Schizosaccharomyces pombe: one gene and its partners. The main gene of each other region encodes a partner of the protein of the gene in region 4 in a complex. Each region holds a gene or a part of one and is shown on either strand. Other genes may lie near its edges.

Region 1 (7,204 bases), on a different chromosome or scaffold from region 4:
TAAGAAAGTAGGTGCCGACTACGTGTGGAACCATGATTAAACTCAACTCCGAAGTATAAATGTTCCTCAGTGATATTGATTTAATGAATGATGAAGCTATTTATTCATAGGGTATTCCAACATTTGAATTGAACTGTAAAGCACACTACAAAATATCAATGTTCGAATATGAAAACACTGTAATTGAACATGCATTGCCAAATGCATTATGAGCTCATAAACTACAAAAACCAAATATTATATCTTTTCATACTTTTTAACTTAACCAAAATTCCGAAACAACGGTAATTATGGTTTCACATATTCCACTGTATTATCCAGATACTACCTGCTTTTAATATGGAAGATAAAGAAGGACGATTTCGAGTGGAATGCATTGAAAATGTACATTATGTAACAGATATGTTTTGTAAATATCCATTAAAACTTATCGCTCCTAAAACAAAACTTGATTTTTCTATTCTGTACATCATGAGCTATGGAGGTGGCCTGGTATCAGGGGATCGTGTAGCGCTGGATATTATAGTTGGAAAAAATGCTACATTGTGCATACAGAGTCAAGGAAATACAAAATTATATAAACAAATACCAGGAAAGCCTGCAACACAGCAAAAGTTGGATGTAGAAGTTGGAACGAATGCATTGTGCTTGTTATTACAAGATCCAGTGCAACCTTTTGGAGATAGTAATTACATTCAGACTCAAAACTTTGTATTAGAAGACGAAACTTCTTCTCTTGCATTACTGGATTGGACATTACATGGTCGAAGCCATATCAATGAACAATGGAGTATGCGATCTTATGTGTCCAAAAATTGTATCCAGATGAAGATTCCAGCTTCAAACCAGAGAAAAACGCTTTTGAGAGATGTGTTAAAAATATTCGATGAGCCTAACCTACATATTGGTTTAAAAGCCGAACGAATGCATCACTTTGAATGTATAGGCAATTTGTATCTTATAGGACCAAAATTTCTTAAAACTAAAGAAGCAGTTTTGAACCAATATAGGAACAAGGAGAAGAGGATATCAAAAACAACGGATTCATCTCAAATGAAGAAGATTATCTGGACTGCTTGTGAAATTCGGTCGGTTACAATAATTAAATTCGCTGCTTACAACACTGAAACTGCACGAAATTTTCTTCTGAAATTATTTTCGGACTACGCAAGCTTTCTAGATCATGAAACTCTTCGCGCTTTTTGGTACTGAACATGTGAACTCGTATTTCTTTAAAAAAAAAAGAAAAACCAATTTAATAGGGTCCATATTTTATAATTATTTGGGATATAATTGAAGCACGCTTTTAATTTTTTTAAATTTCGGTTTTACGAGTAGGATGTTCCAGTAATTGAAATCTTTTACAGAAATCTCGAATCGTTTTTTTTTTCTACTCCCTTAATTCCATCAAAGCTTCTGCGTTTTTTGAAAAATTACTTAATTATGGAATCAGTTATGTTTCGAATACAATAACCTGTTGCCAAAGTCTCGATTTACAAAAACGTGGTTAATACTCGAAGAGGAATATTTGCCTAAAGTGTAAATTGAGAATGTATCCGGTAATTGCTTATTTTTAATCCTTAATTTTTCTGTGGATCAATTGAAAAATATTAATTGCGATTGCCAAATCTTGTTTCAATGTCTTGGTTACTGTACTTATACTTTTATTCCAAGCAAATAAAAGTTTTATGCTATATGGAACGACTCAAAACATGCTTCTCTTGGCTAGGACTTGACGTTCAATTACTAACTGTTATAGAAAATTTACTATTTAGTACACAGTAGATAACTAACTAATTGGATATAGCACTTGAGACATAGATCTCAAAGAGATTGTATCTATTTCATAAAAGAGACCTTTGTCTCTGGTTTAATCTGTTAATGCAGTCACGTTAAGTAAAAGCATTTTTGGAATTGTAATCACAACAAATCCAAGTAACAAAATATCATTGTTTTCGTATGATCATTAGAAGGTTAAGGTTTGCAGTTTTAATATCATAAATGGCATTTAACAATGACTACGATTGTAAATCCAAAGCTTCAGCTAACAGCTGACTTTTAGAATTGTATAATCGTGCAACATCGTCTTTAACTCGAACGATTACCCAGTCTCCAGCAGGCACAGGCTTTTTGTAGTTTATGCTATAACTGGGAGTACGCACATCGAAGTTTTCAGTAGGAATAGGGTCCCGAGGCTGTGTTGATTGTGAATTTGCTTGCGATGATCTAAGATTCCGAACAGTCTCAAGAGACTCGATCAATAAAGTTGCAATGGCGCCCCCATGAGCCAGTTTCTGATATCCTGTCAAAGCCTTACCCATGAGTCCAATGCTGATCCATTCTTCATGTTCGGGGTCATAAAATGTTTTAAATACAGGTATCAATCCATCTTTAAAGGAAAGAAAATTGGAAGGATACTTAGATTGAAGCAAGGACGGATGCTCCTCCATTTTCATGCTGCGTTGACGTTCGCGATAAATGTTATCAATCATTTGAACAGCTTCAGGCGATTTCGAAATTTCAGAAATATGTTTCGCACTTGCTGGTAGTCGATGATATGCTGTATAGGCATCACTGGAAACAACCCAAGAAGCTAGACCGCCTACCATAAATCCCCCAATCCCTGCTAATAACAGCTTATTTTGAAATAATTTAGAGCTCATAATCAAAAATTGAACAAAGTTTCAAACTTTTCGTCACAATGTAATAGGAGCGTTTACTATTAGCGATATTCGGACGTTATAAAACTGATACGCAGATGGAGCATATGTGCAAAGCATAGGGTATCATTAATTTATGCAAGAATATTTATCGTATATTTTAAGAAAATATAATTACTTACATATCCAAAAAGTATTCTATAATAATAACTAATACAGGAATAAACAAATTTCGTAATGCAATTGAAGCAAAGCATTTGGAGAGAAAATGATGATTGTGAATAATTCAATGACATAAATTGTAATAGTACAACATTAATTAATTTATTTCTTTTAAGATTGAATGTAAGAATCGATGCTCTGCCCTACTGTAGGAAATTAATCACTTCGATTACATTCAGCAAAATTCAACTTTGAAAAAAAAAGCAATATCAGAGAATAATCCAGGTACCTAGAAAAACTTTCATCGCCATTGCTGCAGTTTTCTAGTTGGTTTATGAAGAAGCATATACAATAAAAGATCGGAGAACTTTCACCTTTTTTAAAGCATCTGTTTTCAAAAAAGAAAGAAACTTTTATTTTCCCTTTTAATACGACTTCGGTCCAAATTACAGAAGTTGCGAAAACGAAAGTCAAAATTTTTGTAATAAAGATGCATACAGAGGGTATTCTGTATTTTTTGAAACAAAACTCTAATAAATATTAGAGAAAAAGCAGCCGTGGATTTTAGGAAAACTCCATTTCAACGCCTTCAACAGATATCATTTTCAACTCCCATTCACGCATAAAATTAACTTTGATTTCTTCCAGATGAGTAATAAGGGACTTAGCAGCATCAACAATAACCTGCTTTGGAGAACAATCTTCTACGGTTTGTACACGAAGTATGAAATTGTGATTTAATGGATGAGGAACTTTGTAACCAGCAAAAAGAACCCTTTCGTCAGATAGGAGTTGACTTCGAAAAAGCAGTTAGAAAAGAAAAAAAAATTTAGAAGTCTTACTTTGCAAGCATATTAGCCAATGTATGATCCTCTTTTTCAAGAGTAACTACTGCGGCATTAGGTGATTTGCTATCGAGCTCATATGTGACTCTACACTGGTTAATGCAATTCCTTGTAAAATTGTTTATTCCTTACTTGGGGAGTCCCATAAGCTCAATGAGCTCATACCGTTCTGGCTGATTCATTATGCCAACGTTTTCAGCCGACTAGCTGAAGAAGAAGTAAGATGTTGATGCTTACGAGGGTTTTGTCCACGTTCTGTACATTAAGCATCACTATAAATCGTAATGCCATTTAACAAAAGCTTTAACACTTTATTCCACAACTCATCGTATTTCGTTATAAATAACGCGAACGTGAACGGACACTTAATATATATTTATCTGTTGGAAATCGGCTCAAACGAGTAATGAAATGGGAGATGTAACAGTATTTTTTAATAACTGATTTTAATAACTAAAATTTTTAAAGGCATATTTTGAGGCGTTTAATTGTAGATTAACCGTACTTGTTTTCATTGAACTGTGCAGAAAGATAAACAACAAGAAAGCTCATTTAAATGTTGAAAAAAAAATAGTTTTTCGTACTTATTTCATTTTTTAGTTTCATAATGTAATTCGTTTGTTCGTTTTAAACAAATATTTTTATTGTTTACATTCTATGTTTCGCTTTGACTGTTACCTTATACCGTTACCTTTTCTTTTATGACGGAAAACGCGCCAACTTAAACCCTCCATTTACCCAAATCGAGAGTTATTCAAAATGCATCAATCATTATTATGTTTTGGAGCAAGACGCTTGCCAATGACCACAAAGTTGGGTCATCAGTATTACAAGGGTACAAGAACTGGGAAAATGGGTCAAAAAACCAGGCATGGAGGTTTTCTTGTCCAGTGGTCGCGTGTTCGCACGTTTGTGCCTCCTTCTGGTGATTGTGAGGTATGTTGTAAATTAATGAATATTGTTTTATATTAACTTTCAAAGCTTTTGCCTTTTGTTTCTCGTCGAATTCAAGCCACTAAAGGAACTTATCCTGAAGGTGCAAATGGGTTGGATGGAGCTGTGTATTTTGATCTTGCTCATAGCTAGTATGTTTATCAGCCTCATTCTTTATTGTTTTGAAAAATTTTGGTACCCTTTTCAACTGTTGCTTTATTCTATCTGTTAATGATTGGGCATACACTTTGAAAGGAGAAATTTCTACGTTACGATACCTTATGTTGCGTTGACTGTTGTTATTTATTGTTTACGGACACGTATATTTATCGATATTCTGTTGTGACGTTTGCTTCTATTAAATATACTAGTTACATTCTTACTTTTTCTGCCAAAATTGGGGGCAATCTTGAGTACTGCGCATTTATATATTTATTATAGGATTAGTCTTTTTCATCCCATCTATCTTAGAAAAAAAAGGGCTGCTAATACCTAGCAATGCGGTTTAAGCATGGATTTTCTATATCTTGGATATCAGGTATAAAAATGTCGAAAACTTCATGTTTCTTGAAGAAATACAGACTAATATTACTTTGGTGTATCCTTGGCATTGCCTACATTTTATTCTGGACTCATCGGATTAGCAAAGCGTTTGCTTCAGTATCCTCGACTTCGGACTCAACCGTCCATCTTTTTGAGCGCGGAAATACCTTAAATGATAGCAACGACCAAATTTTACTTACATGCAATGATATCAAAAACATTACCCCTGCTAATCAATGTCGGTTTGCAAAGGCTTACTGTAAGGGAGAGGCTAGTGGGTTCTTTGATTACGTTGAATTTTATTTTTGTACCATTAACAGTCTCCGATTCCCAGTGTTATCAATAATTGTGGGATGGCTGATTTTCCTTTTCATAACTATCGGAATTTCTGCTAGTGATTTTTTTAGTACCAATTTGGTTACTATTTCGTGGCTACTTCAATTGCCCGATTCTGTGGTTGGCGTTACTTTTCTTGCTTTAGGCAATGGATCTCCTGATATTCTTAGTACGTTCGCTGCTGTACGTGTCAACAGTGGGGGAATGGCTATTGGGGAACTTTTGGGCTCTGCATTCTTCATCGTAGCCATAGTTGCTGGCAGCGTATGTTTAATAAAGCCATTTAAAATACCTCGGCGTCACTTCCTTCGGGATGTTGCTTTCCTTACCGGTACTATTTTACTTGTTATAATGTTTGTTTTGCATGATGGTTCGTTGAGTATTTGGCAGAGTCTCGTAATGATACTTTATTATCTACTCTACGTTCTTTTCGTCTTTTTCTCTGGTAGCTCTGGTGTTAGCGTGGTAATCACTGATGAGAATTATTTGCCTGTCTCCCTTCCAGTCTACTCACCGGTTTTAAATTCTTTCGATGACTCGGATTCCTATAGTAGCACGGATTCTGAATTATCCGAAGAGGCATTTCTCTTGCCTGCCCAAGCATCTAGAAAGACCCAAAAAATACATTACATTAACGATAATGACCCTTCAAATTCGTATTCCTCATATCAACATTCCCATGTCCATGATTTTATTCACAAAAACAACACTCATTCTAACCGTGTGCTAAGTCAGTCATCGGGCCCCATTGTGCGTCCTTCGTTGCTTGCTGCTCTCGACTTTAGATCTTCGAATGAGGAACAACATCCGGGATTACGCTCACTTGATCCATTGAATATTCAAGACGGTGATCTTACTATGCATCCTATGCATATTCGCCATTCTCAAAGCGATTTTTATCCCAGTGGAATTAACACCCCTGTGAGTGGAATTAATTATCCCAATTTGGGATTTAGCGCCAATAATAGCGTGCAATCCCTTGTTTCTGAAATCTTTCGTCACCCAACTCACACTGACGAAGACTTTCCATTACCCTCGCCATCACTTAGTTCTTTGCTTTTCCCTACTTTGCGAAATTTTGCCAAAAAATCATGGTATGAGAAGTTAATGGACGTCTTAGCTGTTCCATCTGTTTTAATATTTACGTTAGCATTGCCTGTATATCAATGCCCGCGATTGGCAGTTGATCCCATTTATCATATGGATGTATCTAACTGTAATCCATCAAAACCAACATGGTCCCGTAAACTTCGCTTACTACAATGTGTGTTCGTTCCTTTTGCCTTTGTGACCTTTTCCATCACAGGCGGGAATCGTTTATATATTTATGCTGCATCTTCTGTGTTTTCTATTTTGTGCATCACAGCTTTGTATTATTATACGGATGAAGAGAAACCTCCAAAATTTCTGCCGTGGGTAAGCTTCATTGGATTCGTATTAGGTATAATATGGATATCGACTATTGCGAATGAAGTCGTAGGTATTTTACGAGCCCTCGGTGTCATTTTCAACTTGAACGAATCTATACTTGGACTCACTGTTTTCGCTGCTGGTAATAGTTTAAGTGACCTCATTGCGGATATTATGATCGCTCGTTCTGGTTTTCCCGAAATGGCAATGGGTGGTGTATTTGGAGGTCCAACTCTGAATATTTTAATCGGTATTGGCATTTCAAGCTTCTATTCAAGTATCTCCAACCACGGAAATGACAGTGTCATTGAAATA
Region 2 (9,604 bases), on a different chromosome or scaffold from region 4:
TTGAAGATACTTTAAGATTTTTACGGCATGATGAGGAGGCCAAAAGATTCCTTGACCCCTTCAAAAATCCACCTTACTATGTTCAGTTTTTTGAAATAGGAGCCAAAAACTACATGTTTGTGCAAATGCATCACTCCCTATATGATGGTTGGAGTTTGTCTCTTATGTATGACGAGTTAATGCAGCTATACAGAGATGAACAAGGTAATTCTAGAAAACCTTTTAAAGACTACATTATTCAACTTTATTCTTTAAAATACGATTATGACTTTTGGTTTAAATATTTCGAGAACCTCTCTATTCCTAAGCCCTTACCGTTCTTGTCCAACAATGGAAAGTTTATGAGTTCTATGATGTCTACAGTATCTTTACCTTCAGTAAGACTGGCATGTCAATTGTACGGGGTTAGTATTCAGTCCTTGGTGTTTTTTACATGGGGTTATTATATAGCCTCTGTACTAAATTGTCCTGACATTGTGTTTCATACAGTTTTGTCGGGTAGAACTTACATAGAAGGTGCAGAAACTGTTATGGGCCCTTGTATGAATACAATTCCTGTAAGGATTAAGTTTGAAGGCGCATTGCAGACATTAAAAAAGACTTCACGAATGTTGATTAATTTAGCAAAGCAGCAACATACGCCGTTGTCTTGGATTTACAAAACATATGGAAACGTCGCGGCAATACCCATGGAAAGCATTCTAGTATATCAACATTTACCTGACTCCTCCCAATCGGAAACTTTTTTAAACGTGGTAACAGATAATTCAGCGGTTGATTATCCGATAGCAATACAGTTTGAGATACAAGGAGACACACTAAACTGGTTGACTTCTTTAGATTTAGCACGTGTTGATGGCGACGTTGCTAATCAACTATTACAAACAATTGACAAGATATTCTCGAATTTAACTAAGGGATCATTTGAAAAACTGACTTTTAACTTTTCCAACTTTGTTAAGTACCGGCAATATCAGATCAATTTGAAAGACTTTCGAGAGAATCTACTGCTTACTGAAGAAGCTATATCAGACTGCGATCTCTTAATCATCGATGAGCGTGTGTTAGTTGTTTTTATCCTTTTCCCTGAGCCTGACGCAAAGTTTCCTTATTTGGTTCTCAATGAAGAAATTATTCGAATGCTCAAAAGTTATATCAAGAAATTTCGTCTCACCTTATCTTCAGCAATGGTCCCAGATATTTTGGTTCCAGTTTCTTATCTTCCGAGATCCCTTGATCACTCCGAAAATGAGGGAAAGCTTCTGAATATCTATAATTCCATTTCCGCTGATAATTTGAAAATTTTGTCGGCGGTACATGAAATTCATTTAAATGAGACTGAAAAAATTCTTCTCGAAGGGTTTTCGAAAATTATCTGTTTACCACAGGATTCTGTAGATATTTCCAATAACTTTTTCCAGTTAGGAATGGATTCTATTCGCTCGATTCATTTATGTTCTTATTTACGAAACAAGGGACTCAACGTTAGTGTTTCAGATATTTTGCAACATTCCTCAATAGAAAAACTAGCTCACTATTTGCAATATGAAAAGAAAGAATCATCTTCTTCATTTGATATTGCTAGTTTTCAACTTGATGAATACTTAAATACACTTCCATCAAATATTCCGATTAATTTAGTTCAAAAAATATTACCTTGTTCTGCCGGACAAATGTATGCATTAAATGCGTGGTACAATACGGAGAAGAAGAAGTATTTTCATACTTTTTTCTACACTACTGAAGAAAAGATTGAGCTATTAAAATTGAAACTGGCTTGGGCGAAGTTAGTCAAATCATCTGATATTCTGCGTACCACCTTCATAAGATCTTCGAGTCCATGTTATCCTTTGCTGCAAATAGTCCTTAAGTCTTTTGAATGTCCCTGGGAACATTACATAACTGACAACTTGCACGATACTTGCTTGAAGATTCAGAAAAGAGAATTAGTTACTAACACTACTTTACAAGAAGTCCCTCTTCGTATAGCGACTATCGAAACTAGCGGAAAATTTGTTTTTTGTCTAACAATACATCATGCATTATACGATGGATGGAGCCTCGATATCATGATCAACTATTTATCTAAGATGTACTACGATGATAGCTTAACTATTGTGCAACAAAACTCGCAACTATTCCTTTCAACAGTTCTTGATCCTGCTGTTGGCTTATCTCGTAAAAAATTCTGGAACAATTATTTAACGAATTATAAACCGTATACGTTTTTGGAGAAACCTTCTGCCTCTCAAGAAATAACACTATTCTTTCCCAAATTATTTTCTCTAGATACAGTTTATTCAAGTGTACGCTCGCGTGGTTTGACAGTACAAAGCGTATCGTTCGCAGTTTTTGCTCGCCTTCTAGCAAACGAAGTCAAACAGGAAGACGTGGTTTTTGGAATCTATGTTTCTGGAAGAACACTAGACGTTGACAACATTGACGAACTGCTATTTCCAACATTCAATGTGGTTCCTTTAAGAGTTACAGATACTTTCAGACCTTTAGGTGAAATAGCTCTCGAAATTCAGTCTTTTTTGAATGAGATTTCGGGAAACCTACAATACATATCTTTGCTGGATCTCCCTGTTCATGGCATGATGGATATCGCAGTAAATTTCTTGTCAACTGGTGATAACAATGAACCAAGTAAAGTTTTCAGCGTATACCCGTTGAAACTCAACAATGCGGAACTAAAGATTAACGAAGTTGAAACCACCATTGATGGTTGTGAAATTTTGTTTGGAAACAAACCCAAGTTAGATTTTGAGTTGGCAATTCGAGATGGTTACCTCGAAATTGGTCTTTTCTGCCAATCGTCTATATTTTCCAAAAGAGAAGCCAGTGTTTTTATAAACAATTTTGTTACAATTATTAAGGAAATTGAACTTTAAATTGAAGCCGAAATTAGGTAACAACTACATTATTATTATATAAATAATATATATATCTGTTAGAACACAATTTAAGTAGCTTATGTAAATAAATGATAGCTTCTTTAAGATCACACCGATCATCCTTCTGTATGTTCATGCTATGTTTATGTATTAATTTATTCAAATAAGCAAAACTACTTATGGTTTTTAGTAAATAACCGCGGTGCAATATTCATCGACATCAATTCTTGGAATAAAAGCTTGGCAGCATACGGTAAATAAACTTGACTAAACCGAGTACGATTTTGACATGATCGGCATTCATATGAGTCTTTTTTGTAACTGGCGATCGCTATCAAACCACAAATATCGCATACTATAACTCGGTACGCATCAGAACAATCAAACAAACGTTCTCGTAATACACTACTACAACCATGAGAAATTTGGCAATCACGTTCCATTTCTCCAAAACGAAGGCCACCATCTCTAGATCTGCCTTCAACGGGTTGACGAGTCAAAATTTGCACAGGTCCTCTAGCACGAGCGTGAATTTTATCGTCCACCAAATGCTTTAGACGCTGATAGTATGTGGGACCAAGAAAAACTTGGGCAACAAGCTTCCTACCAGTATGACCATGGTACATAACTTCAAATCCTCTCGACTGAAAGCCATGTGAACGTAACAGCTTAGAAACCGCTTCAACCGTAACGTCTGTAAAAGGTGTGGCATCACCTTCAAAACCAGATAAAGCAGAAACCTTGCTAAGTTGACATTCGACTAAATGAGCAACTGTCATACGAGACGGAATGGCGTGTGGATTAATGATGATATCAGGAACAATTCCTTGTGCAGAAAATGGCATATCTTCATGACGATATGTCATTCCAATGGTACCTTTTTGACCATGCCTTGACGCGAATTTGTCACCAATTTGGGGTATACGAGTACTTCGCATTCTAACTTTAACAAATTTTAAGCCTTCTTGGTTAGTGGTGACCATTACTTGGTCAACAATACCGCTTTCAGTGCTTCTCAAAGGAGTGGAAACGTCACGCTTTGCATGTAACTGAGTACGTTGACCTAATTCTTCATGATCTAGGGGAATTGGAGCTGTTTTACCAATAATAATATCTTCGCCTGACACTCGAGTGCCAGGAGCAATTAAACCATCATCCTCAAGCTTGTCGTACGTACCGTGTTTCATCCTTAGGGTTGTAGACCGGACCGGCCGTTCAAACTCCTCCATAACAGTCATGCCAATTTTCTTTTCTTGGTCCGTGTACGTTCTGTAGAAAATACTGCGGAATAATCCTCGATCAATACTAGCTTGATTCATAATAATGGAGTCTTCTTGGTTATAGCCACTATAACATAGAATGGCGACAATAGCATTCTGGCCAGCAGGAAGTTCACGGAACTTTAGGTACTCCATCGATCGAGTAGTCGCCAACGGCTTCTGTGGATAGTATAGGATATTTGCCATGGTATCCATTCGTACTTGGTAGTTTGTAAGATAAACTCCCATAGCCTGTTTACCCATTGCAGATTGATAAGTATTACGAGGTGATTGATTATGATCAGGAAAAGGGATAATACTAGCAAGGATGCCAAGAATCATCGCAGGATGTATTTCACAATGGGTCCAAGCATGCACATGAGGATTAGGAGCTGGCTTAACTCTTTGTGCAGGATCCAGTTCTTCCTTAACTTCATACCCAGCTTGCATTTGACGTGATGCTTCAAGATCTTCCGGACTCATTGCTATCATAACCGTCTCCTCTTCTTCTGCATCTAGATACTCAATGAGACCACTAGATACTAAAGCGGTCCATCCAAAGCGTTGTTCGGGGTCAATGTCATATCTGTCTTTATCCTCTATTAGTTGTTGGATATGCTCTTTACGAATACATAACTCTCCTCTTCTTTCACTATTAGGATTGTTATCCACAATAAATAATGGTCTACAAATACGACCTGCATCTGTAAAGAGACGAAGCTCTTTTTCACGGATATCGCGAACGATACTAACCTCTGCAGATATGTCCAATCTACGACGAAGGCTGCGTAGCGTCTCTGTTAAATGAGCTGGATCACGATGTACTCCTAACCACACACCATTCACGAAGACCTTTGTTGCATTAGGAGACGCTGAAGGGTTGTAATCTTCCAGTGTTTCTAAACCCCATTCTTCTAAAAACTCGATAATTGGAGCACTGGGTGAACCTACGGAAACATAGCTCATTAGAGACAAATTTTTGACTAAGCCGCAAGCTTGTCCTTCTGGTGTTTCAGCAGGGCAAACCATACCCCAGTGTGTGTTGTGCAACTGACGGGGTTTAGCCAATTTTCCGTCTCTACCGATAGGAGTATTTGTACGTCTTAAATGTGATAAAGTTGAAGCGAATGTATATCGGTTAAGAACTTGTGATACACCAACCCGATTAACCATACTGCGTTTTTGGTCTCCCCAATTACCAGTAGCCAATGAATAACGTAAACCATTGGTAATAATGTTTGACTTCACAGCCAGGGTAAGGTTGAATTCACGATTTGTTTCAACGCATTTCTGCATATACTTATACACATCGCGAGTCATTTTACGAAAGAGCATACGGAACAGAGATGCAAGTAATGGACCTGCAAGGTCAAGACGCTTTTTCCCGAAATGATCTCGATCATCTGGTTCACGACGCTCTAACGCACACAAAAGCATACGATGGATCATGTAACCTAAGAAAAACGCCTTTCTAGTCTCAAAACCTTCCATTGTAGTAATATGCGGAAGCAGCTCTTTCTGTAAAATGTCATGGGCATATCGAAGACGTTTTTCACGCGTAACACCAGTAGTACTGCCTCTTTTACCAATGTAATCCAAAGCTATATCTTTATCTTGAATCACAAATGCTTCTTCGATACAGGGCTTCATCATTTCAAGCATTTGGAAATCATTTGGGTCGTAGCATATATGTTCCAAAATATCACGATCAGGTACAACTCCAAGAGCACGGAACACGATGACGATAGGAATGTCACTCCTGATATATGGAAGTGTTGCTCTAATTGTCTGACCAGAATTCTCAGTATTACGTGCCATTAACTTAATCTGCATAGAAGAAATAAGCCTACTACCTCGTTCCAAAGCAGAGCGAATTTCAGCAACGTAAGCGATGGGGCTCGGAGCGGCTTTTTTAAATACTTGTACAATATTGGCAGCAGATCTCTCTTGAGCAATGATTACCTTTTCAGAGCCATTGATAATAAAGTATCCTCCCTGATCATAAGGGCACTCATTCAAATCGTACAATTCAGAATCACTAACACCATTTAAAATGCAAAAAGTAGAACGGAGCATGATTGGTATCTTTCCAATAAAAACTTTTGAGGGTTCTTCATCCTCTTCTTCAACAAGCCACTCCTCTTCGCCGATGGGAACATTAGAATCGGCAGCAACCATAACTTTTTTACGCATGTCAACGTATAAAGGAGACGAGTAAGTCAAGTTACGAAGCCTCGCCTCTTGAGGAAACATAGTAGTTGTACTACCATCAGCTTCAGTCATTGTAGGCCTTGAAAGATAAATCTGTCCAAAATTTATTTCGTATCGACGTGTAACATCTCCTTGAGCACCCGTGTGTTGTGCATATTGATCTAGAGTTAAAGTGGAATCATCATCAACAATTTCTTGCATAGTATTTTGAACAAACTCATCGAAAGAGAACAATTGTTGCCGAGCTAACGACGTTTCCTCAAAAAACGACGAGATCACGGTCCAACAATCCTCCTGAGTCAATGTCTCATTGTATTGATCTATTATGGTGTTAAAAATGACTTTATTAGTAACTTACAATCCTCATAAGACATTGTTGTTGAAATGGCACACGCAACAGGATATGTTGGCGGTGAGGAAGAGGAATAAATGTTGAGGCTACCGTAACAAGGATATCGTACCGTAGTGGCAATTCGACTTTGTGTTCAGTAAAAAAGTCTTTAAGCATCAAAAAAAGAACCAGTTTTTTTATATCTTTTACTTGTTTTAATCATTCAATATAGCTAAGGTACGTGAAAGGCCATTTTCCTTTCAAAGCAATTCGCAACTCTTTCATTATGTGTAAAAGGCTACTTAGCGTGAATTTTTATTAAAAAGGTAAAGGCTTCACTAAACGTAGTTCAATGAGATTTAGTAAAGAAATCATATCTAATAGCACATAAACGAATTTCAATTACTGATTGGGACAAATGGAGAGATTACTAAACATTTAGCAGACACTTTTCTAAATGCCAATAATAAAAATTACCTTCTCTACATAATTAACGACCTTGGTTACTGATAATAATCAACAATACAGGTGAAATACAACAATCTCGGAATCCTTTTATTCCTTCCTTTATGAACTAATTTATTGAAGAAACAACCTTATTTCTTAGGAGCCATACGACGAAGGTAGAAATGTAACTCTTCACCTTCAAGGATGTAGCCGTCGCAACGACCAGATTGACCAGGGCGAGAGGAAACTACAGCATACAAACGGCCAGCAGCAAACTGAGTTTCCAAAGCGGAATCAACCTTAGAATCGCCAAGACGAGCGCTATGCTTACGTTGAACATGCTTGGATTTGGGAGTAGGTGTAGCAGTGGCCTTCTTACCCTTGCTTCCCATCAAAATACCGTAGTGAGTTTCATACCAAACACGGAAAGGAGCGGCATCAATTTGGACGATGGCCGACTTGGTCAAAGTGTTGGTACGAACCAACTCGTTGTTAGAAGGGTGGTAGGCGACTTGAATGATACGAGTCTTCTTGGAAACACCTTCAGAGCCCCAAGAGAAGTTACCAGAGTCAAGACGAAGAGCACGGAACTTCTTGTTTCCACCACGAACACGAACCTCATGGATACGCTTAGGTCCAATACGAGTGTTGGAAGGTTGACGACCCAACTCGAATTTTCTCTTCTTACGGTATTGAGCACGCTTAGCACCGGTAGCAGAGCGCTTGTGGCGGGAATCTCTCGTAATACCCATCCTGATCCTTTTGCAGAAAGAGATTTGCTGTGGTTACGATGAACTAGTATATAACACAGTAACTGAAATTGTTTGGGTTTGGCTGTGACTGTTATTTTTGTTTCATACTACTACTAATACTTTGTACTTAACGAAATTCGGTGTATTCTTACAAAAACCGATACCGTAAGTTAGCGTATTATCGCTTAGCTCTACATTTAGTAAACTGTACAACGATGCTCGGCTCTGATTAAGCTCAATTCATCCCGACAATCTTTAACGAAGTAAACATTGTATGCTCATTAACGAACTAATGGGAGGACTTCGATATTGTAGAATTGGCGTTCTTTTTTTCAATTTGGTATTCTGATTATGATATGCGTAATAGAAAATGATCGCAACCTTTCCAATCATGCCTTCCTTTCTCACTATTCCTTCAACAATTTTTTATAAATACCTATTTACTCAATCCTCTTAGCTACGTACAGGTGTTTTAAGGGATAGAATATTTGGCGAGGGTTTGATTCGGAAAAGTAATCATTGTGACAATTACTACCGCCTACAATGTCTCAACCTGCTGATATAAATCAATCTGAGAGCTCTGCGGAAACCATTACCCAGGGTCGACGGGCTGATAGACCAGAAGAAACTCCTTCTTCTTCAGTTTATGAACAGAATCTGCGATTCGGCGATTTCTTAATGCCAACTGTGGGCGACGCTGATGCAACGGATTCATTATCCCAATCTACCAATGATCGTGACATATATTCTCCTAGAGAAATTGATCAGTATACTCGGAAAGTTTCCTCTCGGACTGATCCATCAACTTCAACTATTTCAAATGCTCGTCAGCATCCCAGAAATTCGGTATCTCGTTTAAGTCGTAGTTCTAGTAATGTTCGGCAACAAAGAGATATTCCTAAGCAGAACTTTAAGGTACGTCCTCTGTCTCCCTTAAGAGGTCAGTCTCCCGCCTCTCTCAGATCTGAAGAATCCTTTACTTTGAAAGAAAGGCAAAACGCTATTAACAAGACTCGTGCATTCGGGATGCGGCTATGGAAACCCGCATTATATAAAAAGTTCCGATCCATAAACCGTGATGCTGACATTGATATTCACGATGAACCTCTGAAACGCCCCAACACCTCCATCTCTAATGTCATATGGCTGATTTGTTTCGGGGCTCCTCTTTTTCTAGTGATCTTTATATGTTATATATTTTTTACAGTCCTTTCATTTTTTAATGTGCCTGACGCGATCGTTTACTCTAAGCTTTGTCGAGGCCTTATGTTTTATCTCCTCTATCCCTTTGGTCAACATGTTCGACATAAAGTCAAGCGTCTATCAGTACGCTCTCCTGCTCATCCAATTTATCAGACTCAACATTCCCATTATGATGAAACTCCTACTTCACATCACCCGGATCCGGCCCGCTTAAACTTCCTTTCGTTTTCTTTCTGTGTTAATCCAATGAACCAATCGTTAGATTGCAATACTACCCCACATCGAAGAAACGCTTCCAGTATCATTTATACACTTATGTATTACTTGATTATTGCTCCGACACTACTCATTACCTCTGCAATTTGTATGTTTACTATTTTTTTCGTTCCATGTGCAAGGACCTTATGGGCTATTTGTCGACATTTGCGAACTTGCCCATTATCTTTGTCTTTTCGTCCAAATCTCGCTTTGCCGTTATCGATGGATTCTTCAGATGTTGTCTTA
Region 3 (7,150 bases), on a different chromosome or scaffold from region 4:
ACTCGACAACGCCAAGCTAGAGTATTTTAAGGAATTTGATTTATTTACAAAGCCAAGATAAACGTTTTGAGACAACTTATTTTGACAACGTTTCTTCGGATCAAGGGAAACTTTCAAAAATGAAGTATTTTGCAACTGAAGTATAAATATACATGGGGAGTAGTAAGTAATTGCTATCCGATTTTTAACAGCTTATATAAAACGAGCTCATTTCAACCGAATCTAGCTTCTCGATGGTAGATAAAATGAACATTATGTATTATGCGAGGGAAACAACAAAACCAATGAAAAATGCAAGACGATATAGATAAAGGAGAAGATAAAGACCAAATGTGATTTAAATAGAAAAAGTGAGGTCGAAGCAAATGGTCAATTTAAAAACTCAGCGAAAGAAATGATTTGGTCCAATTTTTGTGAACCATTGAACATTGCCCCAAATGCTGACGAAGTGTAGACATCCACTCATCTTTTTCGCCGACGGTTTCAGCGTAAAAATCGATGTAGTCCCCATTACTGAAAATGATACGGAAACCCGATTCGAAATACAGATACCCTTCTAGTTCTTCTTCATCACTATAATGGTTGTCATCCACGATATGTGTGGCTTCAGACAAATCAATCGTTGCTCTGCGAACTTTAGAGAATTGTTGAAAAGCTACTAACTTTGATCCTATTAATTGAAAATAGCGACGACGCCAATAAGGGCAATCCCCACCTTGTTGACATAGATAACCATCACACAATAAAGTTCTATCCCATTCAGCAAGCTTTAAGTCATACATGGCAGACTCGATTGAAGCGGGAAGTTCTTTCAGAGAGACAGGAAGCGCTGGTAAGAAAAATACGTGGATTTCGAGTTCTCCTACTTTTCGAGGGAGAGGCTTGACATCTTTAGCTGCCGGATCAACAGTCCATTTGTTCATGATTGGTAGAACCATAGATTGACAACGGCCTAGTGCGGTTCGGCTTACAGAATCAGTGTTAATGGTAACTTCGCCGAAAGTTCCATCTTCAGAAACAAATCCATGAAGTGCTTCTGAAACGGGGTCGGTAGTCATAGACTTTCTCTTATTTGTTGAAAATACTTTTCCAAGTGTAGAACGAGTGCGAACCTTAGGTGGATCGTAAGCCGCACGGAGCGTACATACAATTGAAGAACTAATACTTTCATCAAAAGTATACTCATTTTCAATTTTAGTAGTAGAGTGTAAGGCGTTCCATGGTACTTGAATGTGCTTACCAGAGATTGTATAAGTGAACCTAGTGGTCATCCCCGATGCCAAAGGAATAGTTAAGTTTCTGATTTCCATAAGACGGACAAACAATCTTCCACTCCCGCCGGTTTGTTGCAAACTACTGGACAAATTTCGCGATAACGATTCTGGCATATAACAAGAATTGACAACGCGCCGCGAAGTTTGCATTTCTTGTTTCTGACTAGTGGCATGTACAACTTTAGAATTCTGTCGTAGCAAATATGTCCTAGTCAAAGCGTCAAAGGCTGAAAGAACATTTGTAAAGCGAGGATCTGGTAAAGAAACCACTTTTGGAAGAAGCGGTATCGGAGCATTTTCGTCAAGAACATGAGGGGAATCTAAAGAGGTGATGGAGCTCGTAAGTGGCTCTTCGTATTCATGAATAGAATCTGAACGGTAGATATCAGTCCTACAATTCTCTCGGTTCTCATCTGCGAATGATAAGCGAGGAGGTGTCTTTATATCTTGGAACGAGGACGAATCTTCAGAGAAACCAAAAGATGCAATACTGTTTATACCTTCGCCAAGACCAACCATGTCACTAACACTGCTAACTATACTGTTCGTAAAACTAGTGTCAGATGAATTATGAGAGTGAGTAGGTAACTCAAGTTTGACAGGTGGTGAAATTGAAACTTCTTCAAATTCAGCTGGCAATGTGTCCTCGTTAAAAAGCTTTGAATTACAAACGGAACGAGCAGGATTTTTTTTAGGAATTGGTATGTCGCCATGGCCCTGGTTAGATGAATTACTCTTTATCGAGTTGCGTGGAGTCGAGCTACGACTGCTTTTATTTGAAGCCTCATCATCAGATAATTTGATCAAACATGAATCGTTCAATGACAGTATGTTCTCTTTGTTTACGTCTTCAACACTTGTACTACTACTATCCGTTTCATTCATGACAGAGTAAGTTGGGGTCCTACGAACTTCTGTAGAAAAAGGAAGAAGAGACTGATGATCATCAAAACTGGAAGAATTTGATAACGTTTGATCATAAGGGAAACTATCGCCATCTTCAGCATCCTCAGATTCAGCAAAAGAAGGGGCCGTAGACGAGATGTTACTGCGATTAAAATTTCTCATTGTACTTTCTCGAGATATCGATGCGATTGTAGAGGCATAGTCAGAACATTCGTAATCAGTACTTGGGATGGGAGAAGGAATTCTCAATGCTCTATGGATGTCAGCTAAATACATTTTAGCATGCTGATCCTGTTGAGAAGCAGTCATCAACATTATGGAAAGCCTTGGAATTTAACAGCTCTGCTGAAATTAGAATATAAAAAAAAATAAAGGCACAAAGAATTAAGGGTTTTTATTTAATTGGTATTCGGATTACAAGGCTATTCCGTATGGATTATTGTATACAAATAACTGAAACAGTTTCAGTATATTCCAGAAGGTACACCGAATGTGAAATAAAGAAATTCAAGTGTTTTGGTAGGCGCGTTGCTTAATATAAAGGAAGGAGGCGAGCATATGATTGAGAGGCTGGTAAATCCATTTTCGGCAAAGGTGGCTGGTATCACTCGAAAATCCAGTTTTCCAGCACAGAAGCGAGAGAGTGGTTACATCAAGCGGATCATTTAAACCGAAGTCTAAGAGCCATTGGTGGACGCAGCTAGTTTTACAATCCCTTGTTAGACCGAATTGTCGCATATTACTGTTCTTCAAAAGCAAATCCACAATGTACGCAAACATAAATCAGAGTCTAATTAAGTCAGTAAAATTGTTTTTAAACCTAAATATTAAAATTGTTTTCTCAATGAAACAATGCGAAACACACCATCATAGTATCACCCCGACGAGAATGAGTCTGATAAAAAACTGCTTCATGTTGATGACAACGCGGGCATTCTTTGTCTGATCTAGGTAAAGTAGGGTCCGTTGAAGCGTCGTGACTGACCGTCGTGTTTTCTCTACAAATTTAGTGATTATTCGAAGGATGAAATCTAACTTACACATTGGAGCTTTGTAACTCATGGCGATAAACTTTACTAGTAGCAGCGATCTATACAAATTAGCTGATGAGATATTTAAAACTTCCAAATGATGAGGAAAAAAGTAATCGAAAAGAACTTCGAATTTTTTTCTTGAAGTGAATAAACCCAGTAGGAGAAAAAAACAAGCTTACCTCTGAGTAATCACAATTACGACAAGCTAGCCTCAGAACACGATCCACTTTATCCTCTCTAGGGTACCTATTTATTTCATGTTAGTGTTTTCAAACAATTTTCAGTGTCATCTTTTTGAGAAACTAATCCGTACAGCATATTATTGCATTCTATACAATATTGAAAATTTGACATTTTAAAAAAGCAAACAAAAGTATTTTACTTCAACGCAATAAACTTTCAAAAGAACGTGGTGGTTAGTGGATATGGAAAATACAGTGGACAACAGCGTCCTGATGGTTCACATCTATAAGTTCGAAAAAGCTTTTGTTTATCTACAACGTCTCTACAAGATTTCGTTAAAAACTGTGTAGCTGCTTTAAAATTTATTTGCGATATACTTAATATTACTAATTATATAGAAGATATATTGACTTTAACGTGTAGCATTATTCAAACATGGACTAGTCCTACAAACTTGTAACATCATACTTCAGTATCTTACATTATGCACATCAGCGAGTAAAACGGTAATTTACAGTATGAGTTTGATTTTGGAATTAACGATCCCTTAGCATATGCTTTAGTCGAATTTATTTTCGCTTTAAAAGAAGACTACAAAAATAGTTAAACATTTTTAAGCATAACTTTAAAAAATGTCGGGGTTTTGTGTTCTTGGTTGTGGTACAATGGGAAAAGCACTTTTGACTGGAATCTTTGATTCCATTGCTGAAAATGGAAACGATGTTTCTGACGAAATTATCATTCCGAATAAGTTCTATGCTTGTGTCAAATTTCCTAAAGAAAAAGAGGATGTTCAAAAGCTTTTCGGAGATCGTGTTAAAGTTGTAATGGGGGCCAAAGAGAATGCCGAGATGGCTGCGATTAGTAACGTTTTGTTGTTGAGTTGTAAGCCTCAGGCCGCAGAGGATGTTTTGAATTCCCCAAAGATGAAAGAAGCGCTCAAAGGAAAATTAATTTTGTCAATTTTGGCTGGCAAGACCATCTCTTCATTGCAAAGTATGCTTGATGAAAGTACTAGGGTGATTCGCATTATGCCCAATACTGCTAGTCGAATCCGTGAAAGTATGAGCGTAATTTGCCCGGGACCCAACGCAACTGAAGAAGACATAAAGTTTGCTGAATGGGTATTCAATGGCATTGGACGTTCAATGAAACTTCCCGAAAAGCTTATTGATGCTGCTACCGCTGTATGTGGAAGTGGACCTGCTTTTGTTGCTACTATGATTGAGGCTATGACAGATGGTGGTGTAATGATGGGTATTCCGTTCCCTCAGGCTCAGGAATTGGCTGCCCAAACTATGGTTGGTACAGGTCGTATGGTTTTACAAGGTCAACATCCTGCTATGATTCGTAATGATGTTTCAACTCCTGCCGGATGTACAATTAGTGGTTTGTTGGCATTGGAAGATGGAAAAATTCGAAGCACAATCGCACGTGGTATAGAACAAGCAACCAAGACTGCTTCTGGCCTGGGTAAATGATACTAGCAAATTCATTTTGTGCTATTAAATATCCTGGTTCCAAACATGGATTTGTATATAAAATTCTTGGGTTAGTACTTCTGTTTCCTCTTTAAAGCTAGTTTCGTTATCTAGTTGTATTAAAGCGTTGTGACTTAGTTTCATTCAATGATTCCTCTGTTTAAGCTTGCAATTCTGTTACATTACTAATAATATGCGTATTCGAACAGCGAGATTATATTTCATTAACTTTTTAGAACGTTGTATGCAATTAAACCCATTTCATTGCGATTGCTATCGTAGTGAATTTAGCTAAAGGTATTCAATATTGAAGAAACGTACTATGTTTTGATTATTTTAACATTGTCATAGTCGTACCGATGTAAACAAAATCACCACCATAAACAGCTCCCGTATTTTAAATTTTTATCCTTAATTCGACTCTACTTTTTTTTATTAAAAATACTTAATTGTACAGGTATCGAATCTTAAAATTCAACCTGCTTAAGGAGGACCAAGGAAATTTGCAAGTTGTTCTTCGCCATCCGAACGTATTCGAATATGAAAGTATACATTAATGTGTATGATCTAATGCCAGACAGTCCGGTAAACAAACTAGCATGGACTCTTGGACTTGGTATTTACCATACAGGATTGGTTTTAGAAGGTAAAGAATATGCGTTCGGAGCACACGAAATTCCTGGCTCCACCGGTGTGTTTGCTACCATGCCAAGACCGCCTTTAGAAGGGTGTAGATGGCGCTGTTCTATTGCTTTACCTAATTGTACCCTCCCTAAACCCGACGTGGATAGAATTTTGATTCGTTTGAGTCAAGAATTTACGGGGTTATCATATTCTTTATTAGAGAGAAATTGCAATCATTTCACGAATGCTGCAGCAATTGAACTTACGGGCAGCCCTATCCCTTCTTTTTTAAATCGAATTTCTCGAATTGGATTGGCGTTTCCTACGATCACGAATGCCTTATTACAGCACGGTCAAAAAAATACATCCGACGTTGATGATTCCTCGGATTCTTCTTCAGATGTAGATGAAGAAACTTTAATCGTATCAAAAAGTAAAAAAGCTCATAAAGATATTCCTAAATTTTCCGCACCTCCTCCTTCTGCTGACCTCAATAACCTCATCACTGATTCACTTCCTTAAGTCGCATGCTGTTAGTCAGCCTTTTAACCTACGAAATACAACACACACATCCAAAATTGTAGATTTTATTTATGCCTTGTTCTATCAATTAAGTGTAAAGTCAATTTGGGACTTTTTTTTAATTACTTGCTTTCTGATATATATCTCTTTATTCATCTTTGTTTGGTATTTTATTGTAGAGTGTTTTTTTATTAGTGATTATAATTAACTCTACAATAATGGCTGAAAATGAATTGAGATTATTAAACAATGCAGAGCTGAAGCTCGCTCTAGCGGAAAGCGAGGACTCCTTTCAATCGCTTGTGTCAGTTTTTTTATGTCCGATTTTACTAAAACTCGATTCGCCTCATGAAAGTGTGAGAAACAAAACAATTTCAATTGCAAACCACATTATGACTAGGCTCAACAATAACGCGCAAGCCATACTACCTCTTGAAGCCTTAGTAAGCCAGTACGTTGAAGCAAATCAACCTTTGCGAAAAAGATTTCTCCTTGCTTTCATATCTATAGGCGAAAAAAGGATACCTTGTTCTGAAAATTTGGCCCTTCTCCAGATTTGTCTAAATCATGTCAATGAATACCCATTAGTATTATTGACATTGACAATTCGTTTACTTCGTTTTTCAAAGCCAACTTCGGCTATTACATGCTCTAACGATGTCATTTTATCTCTTTCTTCATTCTATTTGATTCAGAAAGATCAAAGGATTTTTAGTGACCTGCAATTTTCCCAAAAAACAGTAGATTACCGCTTGAGTCTGCTTCGGTGGATTCATTTATCTAGCTGGCCATCAAATTGGAAGTGGTTGGCTTACTTTTTTGCCTCTGCTGATTCTCATTCTGAAGTTGCCCGACTGGCAGATGAATTTACGCGTGATAGTGGATTACCTGATCTAGAGAATTTGTCCCACGTGAACGTTCTATTAGACATAGCGCTTGATAAGTTTCGAATCGAAGCTTTGCACGCAAACTTTTCTGTTTCCATTAGCTTAAGGAACAAGGCAATTCAGCATTTACTTAAAAGTAAAATTGCTGCGAATACTGACAAAGCTATAAATTGTATTGAATTCATTCTTGAAGCACCTCCTAGTATGCAACCCCGGTTAATACAGTTTACTCGTTGGGT
Region 4 (6,843 bases):
AGGCTCAAAAATTTGGTTTTGATAACAATGAGTCTGATCAAGATGAGGAAGATGCTTTAATAGAGGAGGATTTAGGCAACGAGTTTGATATGGTAAAATTACGCCAGTATCAATTAGAAAGGCTTCGTTACTATTACGCAGTAGTGGAATGTGATAGTGTAAGAACGGCAAAGGTTATATACGAAACTTGTGATGGCGCTGAGTATGAAACTAGCGCTAATATTTACGATTTAAGATTCATTCCAGATGATGTTACATTTGACGACGATGAATCTCGCGAAGTATGTACTAAAGCGCCCGAAAAATATGAGCCGAGAGATTTTGTCACCGATGCATTGCAACATTCAAAAGTTAAACTTTCGTGGGATGCTGAGGATCCACACAGAAAGGATTTAATTAAAAAGGCTTTTACTTCTCAGGATATTGAAGATTTAGACTTTAGCGCTTACATTGCCTCAAGTGAATCTGAAGATGAGGATGTAGATGTTATTCGTTCTCGTTACCAAAAGTTATTAAGTGGTGATGCTGATGACTTCCAAGCGAATAGTAACCCTTTTGAGGATGATGACAAACTTGAAGGCGCCAATGGTGAGATGGAGGTTACTTTTACTTCAGGTTTTGATGTTGATAACAATGCGAACTCTTCGGAAAAAGATGAAACCACTATTGAAAAATACAAGCGTAAGGCCGCTGAAAGAAAACAAAGACGGAAAGAATTGAGACAGCTTAAGAAAACAAAAGACGATGAAGGTGAAGGATCCGACGTTGATCTTGGTTTTGATGATCCATTCTTTAAGGACAAGGATGCTAGTCGTAACAATAAGAAAAACAAAAAGGGCAAGCATACTCAAATTGAAGATCCTACGGCCGCGTCTAAAGAAGAACTGGAAAACCTTGTTCGTGAAGATGAAAACGATTCTGAGCAGCTCGATCATTTTGACATGAAGAGTATACTGAAGGCTGAAAAGTTTAAGAAGAATCGCAAGCTTAAGAAAAAAGCCTCCAATTTGGAAGGCTTGCAGGAAGGATTCGAAGCTGATGTCAGTGACCCACGTTTTGCTGCTCTATATACTAACCATAATTTTGCACTTGATCCAACAAATCCTCATTTCAAACGTACTAAAACGGTGGAAAAAATTATGGACGAAAGTCGTAAAAGACGCTCAAATCAATTGGAACAAACACAAGACGGTAAGCCTGAGCTTAAAATCAAAAAGCGTAAAGCTGAAAAAGGAGATCAACGTCAAGAACTTGATCGCATTGTCAAATCTATTAAACGTTCTGGAAAATAAATTAGAAATTGTACTCTGTTTTTCCTCTTGAACGATTGGATTTATAGAGTTTGATTTTGTACATATAAATTGGTCAAAACGGGGTTTTTTTGGTTTGCTAATATATTTGTTTTGAATTTTATTTGATTTTAGAATGAAAGCACGTTAATTTACATGGTGTAAAATATTAGATTATTTTTTACATAAGTATGAATATAAAAATATCGGATCATGGTGTTGAGACCGCGATCAACACACTTAAATAATTTGAAAAAAAAAGCGTTAAACTATGCATAATTATACAGACGTTGAAGTCGTCAAAGTACATAGGGCAAAATCGGTTAAAGGAGGAGCGTTAGTAAAGGTAAGGACTAGTCATGAACAGAACATTCCATTTAAAATTGTTCCTTTTTTTTTTTTTTTTATAAAAAACTCTAATGAAGCTTTAACTTATGGCCACTTCAAATCAGCTGCTTCACTCGGATTTTTTAGCTTGCTTGCTATCACGAGCAGCGTAAATTTTAGCAGTAAAAGGTCTATTAATGGTTAGAGTAAAGAAAAATTTAAAAATTTAAACAGTTGGCAACTTACTCTTCAAATTTCAAAGCTATTCTATAAACGAAAAAGACTTCCAAAGTTAAAAGGAGGCCAGCAACTTTTCCATAACGCAGAGCTGTAGAAAGGAAACAAAGAGTAGAACCGTTGTACATTGGGTTATCGTTGACATTAAATGGGAAACCAGAAACACGCTCTGGAAGCAGAAATCCAAAGTAATCACCAAGATATGTACCAACAAGTCCTAGCTTATACATACTCGATAAGACAAGGACGCTGCCAAAACAAAAAATGAGCTTAGCTATACCCTGCACAAGAGGGTTCATGAAGATACCTAGCGTAGGTTGTTGTTTTAAAGCATTCTGATAAATTAAGTCACGAACTATTCCGGCAACAAAAATACAAGCTGCTAGCATGTAACAGGCCTTCTTAGAGTCGCCATTTGCCAATTTGGTCAAAGTCTTATGATTGTATTCTGAACGTGCAGCAATATTCCATAGCAGAGGGTTCAAAGCAATAGATACAGCACAAATTAAAAAAGAATTATTGATTTCAAAAATGGCCATGTTTAGCGAAAAATATGCTTTTATAAAAGGTTGATATAAATACGAAGTTGGTTTGGGGTAAAGAATCAAGCTCATTCAAACGACGTCTTTGATACAACGGAATTTAACGATATTGCTATTTTATAAAATAATGAGAGAAGGCCTGAAAAACATAAGTACTCATTTGTGTTTAAAAGATTAAATTAGAAAAAGGAAAGAAATGATTGATTTCGCATATTTCAAATTGTAAATTTTCGATGGGGGAGGTGGGTGTGGTTCTGGAGCTTTTTTTCTATAACAAAGAAAATTAATCCATAATGCCAAATTACATTCTTGAATTATTAAGCAAGTCAAAAATTAATTGTGATGGGGTGTCTTTGAGTCTCTACTTGTACTTGTTATATCAGTAATACTGGAAATTTGTATATCTTCGGATTCCCCTTCGGTTGAACTAGTAATTAATTTAAAGTTTTTTAAGCGAAAATACAATGTTGAGTTGAATTGGTTGGAAAAAAGATAGGAAATTGGAGTTTACTTTAAAACTGCAGCTTAAATATGTTTTTTTTTTTTATTGTTTATAAGAAGCATTTTATTATTGAACTTCTATATCCGTCAAGATTGACGAACACTATGAAACTGTAGCAAAGCCATTTAGCTAAGGAAAAAAATGATACATTGCTTCTTTCCTGAAATTACGCCACTGTTTATTGAATCTCTTAGTTTAAAAACTAAGTATGTATTTTTCATTTTGACTTAAAAATAAAGTTGAAGCAACTGGTATTCACTGCGTTAATCAAGCAAAAGAATAAACGACAAGTTTATCGAATATTTTATTCCATAAAAATAGAGTGAACATCAAATCACTTAAATTTAATTCCTTCTTAACTTAACCATCTAGCTTGAATTTTGCAGATTTGTTCAGAGATTGATATGAAATACACCTCAAGCCTAACGTGTTACTCAACTAAGCATTTCCGCCTAAAACGTTCGGTTTGGTAGAGAACTTCACATTCTAATCCTCCACACCCAATCAACATCATAGTCTCTTTCGTCGAATATTTCAATCTATTAGTGAATTAGAAATATTGGTTTATTGTTGATTAGTAAAATTTCGTTTTGAAAATTGATAACTCTGTGTAATTTCAGGCCTTTTTACCATTACAAAAGATGTTGTCACGTAGACAGTTAATACCCATTGCTACCAAGTCGGTTTCTCCTTTTCTTCGCTCCTCTATAACATGCCGTAGAATTTCGATGGGCCGTAAAGAACTGAGCGAGAAAGACTCAAATATTTTGGACAGCGTCATTCGTGTCGATCAAGCAGGTGAATTAGGCGCTAATCAAATTTACAAAGGTCAGCACTTTATCCTTCAATTTACCGATCCCAAAGTCGCACCTACCATTCAGCATATGTGGGATCAAGAAAAGTACCATCTCGCAACATTTGATAATTATGTCTTAAAGAATAGAGTCCGTCCTACCTTTTTACGTCCTTTCTGGGACATCGCTGGATTTGCGTTGGGAGCAGGAACTGCTTTGCTTGGAACCAAAGCAGCTATGGCTTGTACAGAGGCAGTAGAAACGGTAATTGGCGGACACTATAACGACCAACTACGTGAAACGGCTCATTTGGAAAATAAAGCTCCAGAATTTAAAGAGATTCGTAGCCATTTGGCAGAGTTTCGAGATGACGAGCTAGAGCATTTGAACACTGCAGTCGAAGGTTGGAACGCAAAGGAAGCTCCAGCTCATGCATTGCTTACCAATGCCATTCAAATGGGTTGCAAAGCGGCTATCTGGATGTGTAAACGATTTTAAATACTTCAAGTTTTCCTGCCTCAAACTCAACTTGCTAGTCCTTTATGAAGCAAAGAACGCCCATTTGATTCAAAATGTTTAGTTTTTCTTGCTTCACAATAGTATGATCCTTGTTAAAACTTACTTAATCTAATTAATACATTTTATCTAAATTCCTTTTCGCGTGTATTCAGTGTTTGTATTATATTTTTTTAATAGACTAATTAAGAAGTGTATGGTGCATAAAAAAACATAGATTTTGTTAAAAAAAGTTTTATGACCCCTCATAAATTATGGAATAATAATGACAAAAACGTCGTATTATAAATCCTGATATAGCTAATAGTTTATAAGACCGGAAACCTTTTAAGTTTTCATAATTGACAATAAACAGACTTGCCTGAGATCTATTTATTGCATTAATCTTGAAATTTACGCAAAGTGGAAAGCTCATCCAAGATGCCTTGAAGATTTTGGTCATCAATTTTATTCGCGAGACTAGGAATCAAGGTCCTAGCCTCTTCAGCGTCTTCGCAGCAGAGTGTTCCCAATTGTGCACGTTCAAATTTATGGAATCGATTACCAAGAATTCTATGAGGTTAGTCAAATATTTGCATACGGCTATTTTCCTCTAAAATTCTATTCAATTCTTTGAAATTATGTACCTTTCACATGCATAAGTGGCTTCAGCCGTTTTAAACCGAGCAAAAACATTGAAGTAAGCTACTGTTTTTTTCATCACACTATCCTAGTTAATTAAAAAAGAATATGCATACAATAAGACATACTCAGTCATTGGAATCTCACCATTAGTTTCGCGTGCTCGTTGTGCCAGAACTGTTTCAATAAGGATTTTGGCCTCTGAAACCGTCAACATATCCTCATTCTCAAACTCTTTTTATATTAGCAACAGAATAAAATTCAAATCCAACCTGGACCAAGTTTTAATTGTGCAGCATCTTCCTCAAAAATAGCCCTCGGCATTATGAATAGATGCTCGCAAACACTCTCTTCAGAATGTTGTTTTTTCTTTTTATCTAATTAAATCAATAACTATTATACAAATGTATTCCCAAAAATAATGTCAGAATGCTCTTTATGCACAACAACCAGCTTTCTTGCTGTTGCTTCGTGTCTAAAAATCGCGTCCTTGATTGCAGCATTTCTATAGCCGCTGCTAATAATAACGATATTTTATATTTATCTTAAAACTAAATAACGATTGTTCTTAATAACATTATGAATTTACCGAGATGTACGGAGATGTCTAAGAAAAATTTATTTTATTGATATTTCTTAATCATTTGTCTAGCTTAACGACGCCAGGGTTTTGGAGTATTTTCTCGTTAAAACCAAAGAGCTTTCTATTAAAATTATTCTCAAGTCTTTGCTTTAGAGACTTCGTATAGCTAAACGTTAATGCGCCTTAAAAACCTCAGATATGAGGATTCTTCTACTAATTTCGTTATATTCATTTGAAAATACGTTACATTCTTTTAAAGGGGTTATTTCTATTTTTACTGTGCTTAATTCTGAGATGAACCATTCGTTCTTGATTTATATGTTTGTTTTTTATAAATTTGTAAATTTATTTTTATTTTAATTTTAATTCTCACAATTTGACTTTGAATTTGATTTTTAATATGTAGGTTAAGGAAAACAGACTTCGTAACTTTACGATGTAATCGACTGAAGTGCATGTCGTTGTACCACTAATCAACTTAAACTTTTCTGTCTGCGGGATATTATAGAATCTTTTCGCATTCCTTTACCTACATTTCTCCCTTTCTTATTTTTTTACTTTTTCTTTGCTTGTGATTTTAAAAAAGAACGCATAAAAACACGAATTCACTCACAATTGCAGTGACAGCTGTTTTGTAGAATTTTATAAACTAATTGCTTTACCCTTAATCTCAAGATAGTTCTGTTATTCTAGAAAAAATGAGAAAAAAAGTCCTGTTAATGGGCCGCAGTGGCAGCGGCAAAAGTTCAATGAGAAGCATAGTTTTTAGCAATTATGTTGCCAAGGACACGAGAAGGCTAGGTGCTACAATTGATATTGAACATTCGCATGTAAGGTTCTTGGGAAATTTAGTTTTGAACCTATGGGATTGCGGTGGACAGGAGGCGTTCATGGAAAACTATTTATCTGCCCAGCGTGATCACATATTCAGAAACGTTCAAGTACTTATCTATGTTTTCGATGTTGAGTCAAGAGAATTTGAAAGAGATTTAGTAACTTTTCGTAATTGTCTAGAAGCAACAGTGGCCAATAGTCCCCAAGCTCGTGTATTTTGTTTAATACACAAGATGGATTTAGTTCAGGAAGATCTACGTGATTTAGTTTTTGAGGAACGTAAGGCAATTTTGTTAGAAACAAGTAAGGATCTTGAAACCACTTGTTTAGCTACTTCTATTTGGGATGAAACATTATTCAAAGCATGGTCTGCTATTGTCTATACTTTGATTCCTAATACGCCTACTTTGGAATCGCATCTCCGGGAATTTGCCAAAGCTGCTGAGGCTGCTGAGGTAATATTATTTGAAAGAACAACATTTTTGGTTATTTCTTCTTATTCTTCTGAGTCCAATCCTGCCACTGATGCTCACAGGTTCGAAAAAATTAGCAATATTGTTAAGCAATTTAAACTCAGTTGTAGCAAAATGCAAGCTCA

Evidence for each region.
Region 1: rpb4 (region 4) and rpb11 share a complex: the UniProt entries of both Schizosaccharomyces pombe proteins name them as parts of the RNA polymerase II (Pol II) complex.
Region 2: rpb4 (region 4) and rpb2 share a complex: the UniProt entries of both Schizosaccharomyces pombe proteins name them as parts of the RNA polymerase II (Pol II) complex.
Region 3: rpb4 (region 4) and rpb9 share a complex: the UniProt entries of both Schizosaccharomyces pombe proteins name them as parts of the RNA polymerase II (Pol II) complex.

What each region holds. Positions count from the first base shown.
Region 1 is NC_003424.3:1,430,598-1,437,801, reverse strand, and holds rpb11 (DNA-directed RNA polymerase II complex subunit Rpb11), read right to left. Parts: upstream 3,877-7,204; 5' UTR 3,850-3,876; coding exon 3,800-3,849; exon of another isoform or gene 3,755-3,799; coding exon 3,665-3,754; exon of another isoform or gene 3,619-3,664; coding exon 3,387-3,618; 3' UTR 2,960-3,386; downstream 1-2,959. Other genes in the region: ure4 (urease accessory protein UreD), read left to right, coding at 340-1,212; SPOM_SPAC3A12.08 (uncharacterized protein), read right to left, coding at 2,019-2,663; mrpl27 (mitochondrial ribosomal protein subunit L27), read left to right, coding at 4,427-4,603, 4,649-4,753; SPOM_SPAC3A12.06C (sodium/calcium exchanger), read left to right, coding at 5,147-7,204. UniProt on the Schizosaccharomyces pombe protein: DNA-dependent RNA polymerase catalyzes the transcription of DNA into RNA using the four ribonucleoside triphosphates as substrates. Component of RNA polymerase II which synthesizes mRNA precursors and many functional non-coding RNAs.
Region 2 is NC_003424.3:847,813-857,416, reverse strand, and holds rpb2 (DNA-directed RNA polymerase II complex subunit Rpb2), read right to left. Parts: upstream 6,782-9,604; 5' UTR 6,742-6,781; coding exon 6,726-6,741; exon of another isoform or gene 6,688-6,725; coding exon 3,071-6,687; 3' UTR 3,032-3,070; downstream 1-3,031. Other genes in the region: ferrichrome synthetase Sib1, read left to right, coding at 1-2,894; rps802 (40S ribosomal protein eS8), read right to left, coding at 7,295-7,897; sst1 (calcium permease), read left to right, coding at 8,441-9,604. UniProt on the Schizosaccharomyces pombe protein: DNA-dependent RNA polymerase catalyzes the transcription of DNA into RNA using the four ribonucleoside triphosphates as substrates. Second largest component of RNA polymerase II which synthesizes mRNA precursors and many functional non-coding RNAs.
Region 3 is NC_003424.3:4,748,765-4,755,914, forward strand, and holds rpb9 (DNA-directed RNA polymerase II complex TFIIS subunit Rpb9), read right to left. Parts: upstream 3,642-7,150; 5' UTR 3,569-3,641; coding exon 3,528-3,568; exon of another isoform or gene 3,461-3,527; coding exon 3,394-3,460; exon of another isoform or gene 3,271-3,393; coding exon 3,221-3,270; exon of another isoform or gene 3,179-3,220; coding exon 3,046-3,178; exon of another isoform or gene 2,971-3,045; coding exon 2,920-2,970; 3' UTR 2,626-2,919; downstream 1-2,625. Other genes in the region: mid2 (septin ring organizing protein), read right to left, coding at 375-2,495; pro3 (delta-1-pyrroline-5-carboxylate reductase), read left to right, coding at 4,030-4,878; sdu1 (PPPDE peptidase family protein), read left to right, coding at 5,419-6,024; proteasome assembly chaperone Ecm29, read left to right, coding at 6,243-7,150. UniProt on the Schizosaccharomyces pombe protein: DNA-dependent RNA polymerase catalyzes the transcription of DNA into RNA using the four ribonucleoside triphosphates as substrates. Component of RNA polymerase II which synthesizes mRNA precursors and many functional non-coding RNAs.
Region 4 is NC_003423.3:1,053,971-1,060,813, reverse strand, and holds rpb4 (DNA-directed RNA polymerase II complex subunit Rpb4), read right to left. Parts: upstream 5,306-6,843; 5' UTR 5,153-5,305; coding exon 5,101-5,152; intron 5,063-5,100; coding exon 4,957-5,062; intron 4,912-4,956; coding exon 4,834-4,911; intron 4,760-4,833; coding exon 4,588-4,759; 3' UTR 4,312-4,587; downstream 1-4,311. Other genes in the region: pre-rRNA processing protein Esf1, read left to right, coding at 1-1,292; cho1 (putative phosphatidyl-N-methylethanolamine N-methyltransferase), read right to left, coding at 1,747-1,807, 1,863-2,392; ubiquinone biosynthesis protein Coq7, read left to right, coding at 3,539-4,189; Gtr1/RagA G protein Gtr1, read left to right, coding at 6,110-6,843. UniProt on the Schizosaccharomyces pombe protein: DNA-dependent RNA polymerase catalyzes the transcription of DNA into RNA using the four ribonucleoside triphosphates as substrates. Component of RNA polymerase II which synthesizes mRNA precursors and many functional non-coding RNAs.